Linked DNA regions of Rattus norvegicus. The protein of the gene in region 1 interacts with the protein of each later gene in a pairwise test. Links are inferred from orthologs where the notes say so. Each region holds a gene or a part of one and is shown in the gene's direction. Other genes may lie near its edges.

Region 1 (4,299 bases):
GTACGCTGCAGCTCACACGAAAAAAGGGTATAGAATCCCAATGGTCATGAGCCACGATGTAGTTGCTGGGAATTGAACTCCGGACCTCTGGAAGAGCAGTTAATGCTCTTAACCTCTGAGCCATCTCTCCAGCCCCTAGGTGCCGTCTTTATGTCACTGTATCCTGTATTAGCTCCATTCACTCTTCAAGGACTCCAGACCCGAGCAGAATGGACGTGGTCAGTTTTCTTGGACAGCCTTCGCACTCATCTGAAGAGATGGGTTGTGTATATAGAGCCAATAAGGAAGAGGGGGTGCTTTGCAGGTTGCACTGGAGGACTTCGTGGCAGCTGTAAACACCTGGGCAGAGACAGCACTTGTTTCTTCGTTGTGACGAGAAGACACAGTGTCTGAAGTCGCAACCCAAAGGATGAATTTTACTTGTGCATACTGTGGACCAACCTGGATACTCCTCTGGGCCACAATCCTAAATCTGAGTGGTTAGCTTAGTGAGGCTGATGCGGGATAAACCTTCACGGCAAGCACTTTGAATTATAGCCGAGTTGGAAATTCAGACAGAACAGCGGTTTTCAACAGGGCGGTTTTCTTCCTCCAGGGGAAAAAACTGCCCGTGTCTGGAGACAGTTTGGGGGATAGTGTGAGTACTGACAGCATGGAACAGGCGAGCGTCCACCCTAACTTACAAAGCATCGGATGACCTCCGCGCACAGAACCCCCCAGTTCAAACACTGCAAAGTTTAAAAGCCCAGAGACACAACTACCCCGATAGTGAGGGTATCTGGTGTCACTTATCCGGGGTCCAGATCTCCTGTGAACACGATTTCACGCTGCCCACTTCCAAAATGGTTTCCGACCAATCGCGGAAGGCGGCGGCTGAGGGAGGCTCCAGTCCGATGGTTTGGTCCAGGCCTGCGCGTGCACCCCCGGGCGGCAGAGCCGATGGAAGAGGCCCGATTGTGGAGCGCACCACTGGAGAAGGCCGGGCAGGGGACGAGAGTCGGAGGGCGCGCACAGTGGGTTTTGTGCGTGGAGATCTCGGGCTTCCCAAGGGTCCCGCAGTTCCACAGAACGGTGGTGGTCGTGTGTCCAGGCGTGGGGGCTTGGTGGGGCGACATGGAGCGGGACTCGGTCCGTTCAGGAAGTCAGGTCCCCCTCCGCGGAGCGTGATGGAACGCCTCGCGTACTTCCCTGTTCGGGGCGGTTCGGCCGGCAGCAGTCGGTTCGCTAGCTGTCAGCGCGGGCGCGAGCGCGCGGGGCGCGGGGTGGGCGCGGCCGAGCGGGTCCCCGAGCCGGTCCCCAGCCCGGCCCGCGACCCCGGGCCTCCCGCGCCGCCCGCTCCGGACTCGGAGGCCCTTGTCGTCCGCTGCGCCCGGCACTTGGCCGCTCGCCGCTCTCCTCCCCTCGCTCTCCGTCCGGTCGGGCGGGCCCCCGAGACCCCGTCGGGTGGGTCCAGGTTGGTGGCAGGCGGGCGGTCAGGCCTGGGTGGCGACCTCCTCGCCATGTCCTCGGCCCGCGACACCAGCAGCCGCTTCCCGCTGCACCTTCTGGTCTGGAACAACGACTACCGGCAGCTGGAGAAGGAGCTGCGGGACCAGGTGAGGTGCGCGGCGCGGAGTCAGAGTCGGTTCGACTCCCGAGTCCCGGGATCTATCAAGCGCTCACCGTAGACCGGGCCCGGTGCCTTGGGCTTTTGGTCCACTCTCCCCTTTCTGATATCACTAGGAATGAGTGCTTAGTATTCCGCTTGACCGGGAAGGAAATTGAGACCCCAGAGCCTACTTGCCTTGCGCAAGGCGCAAGGCCACCGAGCTAATGAGAACCACGTCGGGATCTTTTATCTCAGGCCGGCTGGCCCGGGAATTCACCTTTAAGCTTTATGGCCTCGAAGACGGAAGAGCGACACACACACACACACACACACACACACACACACACACACACACACACACCCCTTACTCGAAGACGGAAGAGCGACACACACACACACACACACACACACACACACACCCCTTACTCCACCCGCCCTGGTGCTGGGGAAGAGCTTGGTTGGGTTCCGTGGACCGGTTCTAACTCCTGTGACCTTGGGCAAAGCAGTTATGTTCCGGGGCCCACTTTTCCTTACCCATAGGATAAGGGTGTAGGCAGTGATGACGGAAAGCCCAGTCCCTGTCTAAATTGATGGGGCTGGGACGGGGCCTAGGAATCAGTGCTTTTAACGAGCTCCCCAGGGTAGTTGGTTTAAGTGTGAGAGTCTCTGCTGCTCAGTCCTTAGGACCCCCCTGTTCTGAAGTACTTTGGATTTTTGTTGTTGTTGTTGTTTTTAATATTGCCATCTTTCTAAATCAGCGGTTCTGAATATTTGGCAGTGCAAGGAGAAGTTTGGGGCTGTTGTGACATGAGAGGTGGGTACTGTTGGCATGGAGTTGGGTGGAGGCCAGGGACCCCGCTGTGCCCTACAGTGTAAAAGGCAGCCACCCACCCGCAACAGAGTGTTACCGGACTCCAAATGTTAGTAGAGCCTTGGTTGAGAATCTTGGTGTTATATTATTTCGTTTGTTTGGGTTTCTTGGTTTTTCTCTGTTTTTGCTGCAGACAGGGTCTCACTGTGTAACCCCTGCTTAGCCTGGAGTTCACTGTGTAGCCCAGGCTGGCCCCAAACCTGGGTGAGGAGTGGCCTGCTGAAGGCTGAGCCACCTGGATGGAGACTCCTGGCATTAAGGGCGCTGCAGTCATTTCATTAGGTATGGGGTGTCTGGGTTGCTCTCTAACCTGTAGCAAATGAGATAAGGATTTGTAATTACTCCCGAAATCCACCACAATTGTTACTGTAGGCTTCATTCATGTTAGCCTGTGTGTCAGAGGCTTGCTTTTGAATGACTTACCGCTGACTAGTAACTGTTGCGAACCCTTGGTTCTTTTGATTGGTAAACATTGCCTTGCTGCTGTTGGAACAGTTCTACTCGGCCTTGGTTTATAGCTTGCCATATGTATTTTTAGTTGGATGGGCACCATGGGAAGTCAAAAGTCACATTTTAAAAATAAGGATTCCATGGCGGGCATGTCGGCGTACATCAGCAACCCAAATCGCCCAGGAAGTTGAAGCGGGAAGATCTGGAGTTGGAGGCTAGCCTGGGCAACTTGGTGAGGGCCTGTCTGAAAATAAATAAGAAAGGGTGAGACAGCCTGTGGGGCCCGAACACTTTTCTGTTGTGTGGGAGGCCCTGGGTTTCATCCTCAGGTATGTGGGGGATGGGGGTGGGGTCCAGACAGGGCAAGGTTCTGTAAGAGTCATTGTTCTTAATTAGATGACAGGGTAACTACTTAGGATTTAAAGAGATATGACACATGCCCCCAGAGAGGATGATTCACTGCCTGCTATCCCAGTATACCTGCTGATCTAACTCTCACACAGCTCAGAGGCCTTCTCTAGAATCTAAGCTCTTACACCCATCCACAAGCCCCATTCCGGACACTTCAAGAAGTAACCAGTTTTGACTAGATGTGGTGGCCCCCGTCCTGGAGGCCGGGGCAGGAGAATGACAAGTTCAAGGCCAGTCTGGGCAAGTGTGACTCTGTCTCAAAATAAAAATATAAAAAATGCAGAAAAGGACTTGAAGCACCTACAGCTCAGGGTTAGAACATGGAAGGGTTCCGGGCTCCGGGTCGTTCTGCTGAGGACAGTGGTTCGAAGCTCACACACTGTTGAAAGTACAGAGAGTCATGTCACGAGATTAAATCCCATGTGATAGAAAGATTCGTTATCACACCTCGGACTTCAGGCCGGAGTTCTGAAAGCAGCTTTCTCCTCACTGAGGAGGGAGAGCTGTCTGCAAAAGTAAGAGACAGGTCTTGGTCACGATCTCAGCAGTGGCCGAGTCACCGTTTCCTGAAAAGAAAAAAAAAGTGATAAAGGCATGGAAGATCTGTTTTGACCATGTCAGACCTTAAGAGCATTTGTAATTAAAGTTTGGGAACTAAAATCTTTTATTTTTGTTTTGAGACGGCGTTGCCGTGTAAATCTAGGTGGCCTGCAAGTCATCTGTGTAGCCCCGGCTGGCCTCAAACCCTCTCAGTAGTCTCCCTCCTCAGCCTCCCCTGTCCTGGGGGTCATAGGCTTGGCAGGGTTTGGGAATTAAAAAGTCTTGCTGTAGATTCGATGGGAGAAAACTTAAGGTCATTGCTGTCCTTGACTTCAAGGCTGAGAGAGAATGCTCATGTACTTGCCGGTTCTTTGGTCCTCTCGGTTTTGAGGCTGTCCTAATTTAACACAATGGGTCCCTTGACGGTGTAGCACTTGTG
Region 2 (4,288 bases), on another chromosome or scaffold:
TTTTTATTTTGAAACAGGGTCTCATTAAGTTACCTAATCTGGCCTTGAATTCAGTCTGTTGTCCAGGCCTTGAGTTTGTGGTCCTCTTGTCTCAGCCTCAGGCATAGCAGGGATTCAGGCTTGTACTACCAGGCTTGGCTAGAGATATTTCCATCTTTATGACAGAGGGCAGGGGGTTGCTACTGGCTTCTAGGGTTCGAGACCAGGGATGCTGTGAATACTATAAACATACAGGTAGTCTCAGTTCAAATTATCTGATGCTAAACACCAGCACTGCAGTTGTTAAATCCCTTGCTCATGAGCAGAAGTTAGTTAACTCGCAAGTGGTGGGGATCACCAGGATCTGCTGGGGACGGCTGTCATCATTTGGTGGGTCTCAACACACCTAGAATATCCTTTGCTTGGGATCCCATGCAGCCAGGGACCCATAGCCCAGTAGGCACGCAGTTTAGGACAGGCCTAAAACATCCTTAAATTTGTGCCCCTACCAGACCAAAGGCGGTTGTGCTATATACTAATACTATTTTAAATATTAGTAGTTACTCCCGATCACATTCTTTGTTTTAAAGTCATTAATTCCAGAAATGGAAATGTTTAAATTACAGAGCACTCCAAATTTGTATTGGCAGATTTTCACTTATAAACGTGTTCCCATTTACACAGTTGTTTTCCTTCTGAACAAATGAAACAGACTTCTAAGATGCTCAGTGAACTTTAATAACCAGGATTGACAAGACTAATATTGATAGCTGCGCAGTACTCACTGTACCTTTAAAATTCTTTTCTCCAACTCTAGGCACAGCCTATTCACATTTTATTTGCGAGGAAACTGAGGCACAGCACAAAACAATTGAAGAAGTTGCTTAGACTACGCAGCTGTTAGACAATGGGGGTCAGGCAAAGTTCATCTCTTATCTGGGAGTTACAATATTGTGGCCTGTTTGCATCTGTAATTATTTTCACTAACGAGCCCGGCAGCATCTGCTCTAATAAACCCTAGCTTCTGGCTGGGGCGCGGCGCTGGGGAAAAGCTCTCATTGCCCGAGGGCACACCCTAGGTGGGGTTCAAGACACTGTGGAGAGCGTGCTGCACGCCTACTGGGTAAAAGAGGGGGCGGGGCGGGTGGACAGGCACAGTTTAGAGCACGCGCCTAAGTTGCTACACTTTTATTGGCTCCAGAGCGGTGAAGGCGGGGCAGGTGGGCAGGGCACAGCAGAGAGCGTGCGTCTCAGCCGCTTAGCTTGCACAAGTTCACTGAAGGAAGGCGTGGTTTACTGTTATCTTACTTAGGGCGGGGTGGGCTGGCGGGGGCACAGTCGGGGTCACGCACTTCAGCTTTCGCGCTTCTATTGGCCGAATCAGGAGGCGTAGCTCTGTGATGGCTCCGACTCCGCCTTGGGGCGGAGCTTTGGGGGCGGGGCACAGGCAGGGGCGGGTGTTCTGGGCAACCTTCCTGAGTTCCTCACTGGGTATCGGCGAGCAAGGGAGTGCTTTTGGGTTTGGCGATCAGTTCCGCGGGAGTCTTGTCAGGAGCAGGATGGCGGCTTCGGGCGAGGCGCGCCGAGTGCTGGTGTACGGCGGCAGGGGTGCTCTGGGCTCGCGCTGCGTACAGGCCTTCCGGGCCCGCAACTGGGTAATATTGCGAGACGGCCGCTGCAAGCGGCAGACTCTAGGAGAGCGGGGAGATCCGGGACTGTCGGCCATGTGCACCCATGACTAGGCTGCATGCGCACGCACCGGTCTGCTCTGGGCCACAGGTGCCTGGCCTTCGCCCTGTGAAGAGCGTGGGATGTAGGTGCTCCTTAGGCCTCTTCCAGGCCCAGAAGGTCCAGCGTGACTTGGGAGGGAAGAGGAGCAGTGTGAGCGAACTGGGAGGGGAAAGGCAAAATGAAGACTCTGGAATTGGGCTGCCCTAAGTTACTAGCCTACTGACCTTGAATTGGTTACTTAATGCCGGCTAGCCTCAGTTTCCTTGTAAAATAAAATGATTATGTTCCTGTTTATTCTTGGGCCAATCGTAATGAATAAATGAGATAATAGGTAAACGCCGTTTAAGTGCTAGGTGTTACCGACACTGCAGCCTGTGTTGCAGGCAGTATTATTAGCCTTGTTGGAACTGGTAGTCGAACGCTCAGCCCCTCAGCTGCTGACATCTTTGCTTAGTAAAGGATAATTCAACTTTGTCTAGTCGTGTGTCCACTTCCAGACGGTGGCAAGTGAGTGCAAGGCTGATGTTGGCTCCAGCCTCTTAGCAGGGATCAGAATGGCTCAGCATAGGATATTTCTAGAGTCAGCCCTGGAGTTTGGAGCACCTTCCTGAGAGTTTAGTTAGCAGAAAGCAGCAGCCTGGGCAAAGGATCCCCTTTGCAGAGAGGGACACGGGATTTTGTTCTGGCTTAAGTGTGGTACAAGAATAATACCACTACCTGTTTAGAATCTTGGAAGACTGGGATGTCTTCACAATCTGCGACCTCAGAGAGTGGAGACAAAGGGAGCACTGAAGGGGTGGGGTGTGTCTACCTCCACTGAGCCCTGCACTCTTTATATCAGCTCTCCCTGACTCAACTTCATTGATCCTCTTGTACTGGTTGCCTTTTATTGTCACATTGACAATCTGGAGTCACCCTGAAAGAGGGACCCTCAGCTGATGAATTGCACGGGTCCATTTGCCTGTGGCCCTATCTGTGAGAGCTTGTCTTGATGGATGCTTGATATGGGAGGACTTAGCCCAGTATAGGTGGTGAGGAAGGTTGAACCTTGGCTGCCTAAGAAAGAAGCTGAGCGTGAGCCAAGGAACCAGCCAATAAACATTGATCCTCCTTGGCCTCTGTATTGAGTGGGATATACTAATTTACCAGGGATTCTGTTCCATCTTCTTCCTGGCACCCTAGGGAGGGCTGGGTGGAGCCGGCTTTGTATTATTCCCCATAGTTTGGGGTATACAAGTAATGAGTGCTGAGTGAGGCTGTAATTGCTCCTAAAGGTAGATACTGACATCTGGGTCTTCAGTCTGAAGGAGCAGGAGGTTTCTGAAGGAGTGGGCATCCTTCATGTCATTTTGTTCTTACTGACCCCGTTAATCAGTCCCTCAATTTCTGTGGTGGAGGAGATTGTCACTTTATGGCAGAGCCAGCATTGATACCCGAGTCGGACATCCACACGGAAGGCTCATCTGCCTCTGCTGAAGGGAGGGGGGGTCTTCCATAGGACACCCGGACAACTGTCATCTCTATGAACCCAAGAGCTGTGAATTGCAAAGGGTTTTACATTCTGAAATGGTTTTATAACACAAAAAGAGCGTATAGTTTCTGTTCCAGCATCTGTCATTTTCAGGATGGCCCATCCCTGTCCCTCCAACTCCATATTGTTTTTAGCTGTCTCTTGTGTTAGCAGGTTTAAGTATTGGTGGCAGAGATCACCACAGAGTGACCTCAGGTGTCTTGAGATACATGTAAGGTTTGGCCCTCAGAATCCACCAGGAAAGGGGAAGAAGGTTGTTCAGAGAACAGGCTGGGATGTGCTGAGGTAGATGGTGGACCAACTGCAGTCAGTGGTCCCTGAAGGATGTCTGGTTGTTATTACCTTTCTCTAGTGGGTTTTTACTTAGTATTTGGTAATGATCCAAAGATCTGAAATGTTTCTAAACCCTGAACTTTTAAAGGGCTATTTGATTCCCCAGATGGGAAGTTTTAGGCCATGAAGCCTGTTGCATGTTCAAAATTATTAAAAGTACTATGTAAAATTACTTTTAGACTGAGTATATAGAGTGTATTAAACATGTGGATTTTGTGTTTAGAGTTTAGTCTCATCCCCACGATAAGCATATACAAATATTTCGGAATCCCAAACTGGAAACTGGAAACTGGAAACATTTCATGTATTTCAGTTTAAGCCTCTTCACCTTTTCTTTGCTTCTATTTCTGGGGGTTGTTCCTTTGAGAAGTCACAACCCACCAACTCTTGACCAAAGCTGTTTTTCTTGCTTCAGTGGGTTGCCAGCATTGATGTGGTGGAGAATGAAGAGGCCAGTGCCAGCGTGATTGTTAAGATGACAGATTCATTCACGGAGCAGGCTGACCAGGTAATTCTCTTTTTTTTTTTTTTTCTTCGGAGCTGGGGACCGAACCCAGGGTCTTGCGCTTGCTAGGCAAGCGCTCTACCACTGAGCTAAATCCCCAACCCTTGACCAGGTAATTCTCAAAGGTCCCTCACTGTGACAGGAGAAGCCCAGGGAGGGTTCCCCTGGCTTTGTTCTTTGTCTGCCAATTCTAAAATCCTCTAGAGGAA

The links. The genes of interacting proteins can lie anywhere in the genome.
Region 2: the proteins of Ankrd13a (region 1) and Qdpr interact in a two-hybrid assay, tested with the Homo sapiens proteins (2 studies listed by BioGRID). The two-hybrid records come from large-scale screens. The link is inferred for Rattus norvegicus from reciprocal best matches to the Homo sapiens genes ANKRD13A and QDPR.

What each region holds. Positions count from the first base shown.
Region 1 is NC_086030.1:47,485,657-47,489,955, reverse strand, and holds the start of Ankrd13a (ankyrin repeat domain-containing protein 13A), read left to right. Parts: upstream 1-1,499; coding exon 1,500-1,595; intron 1,596-4,299. UniProt on the Homo sapiens protein: Ubiquitin-binding protein that specifically recognizes and binds 'Lys-63'-linked ubiquitin. Does not bind 'Lys-48'-linked ubiquitin.
Region 2 is NC_086032.1:69,881,288-69,885,575, forward strand, and holds the start of Qdpr (dihydropteridine reductase), read left to right. Parts: upstream 1-1,488; 5' UTR 1,489-1,538; coding exon 1,539-1,634; intron 1,635-3,989; coding exon 3,990-4,082; intron 4,083-4,288. UniProt on the Homo sapiens protein: Catalyzes the conversion of quinonoid dihydrobiopterin into tetrahydrobiopterin.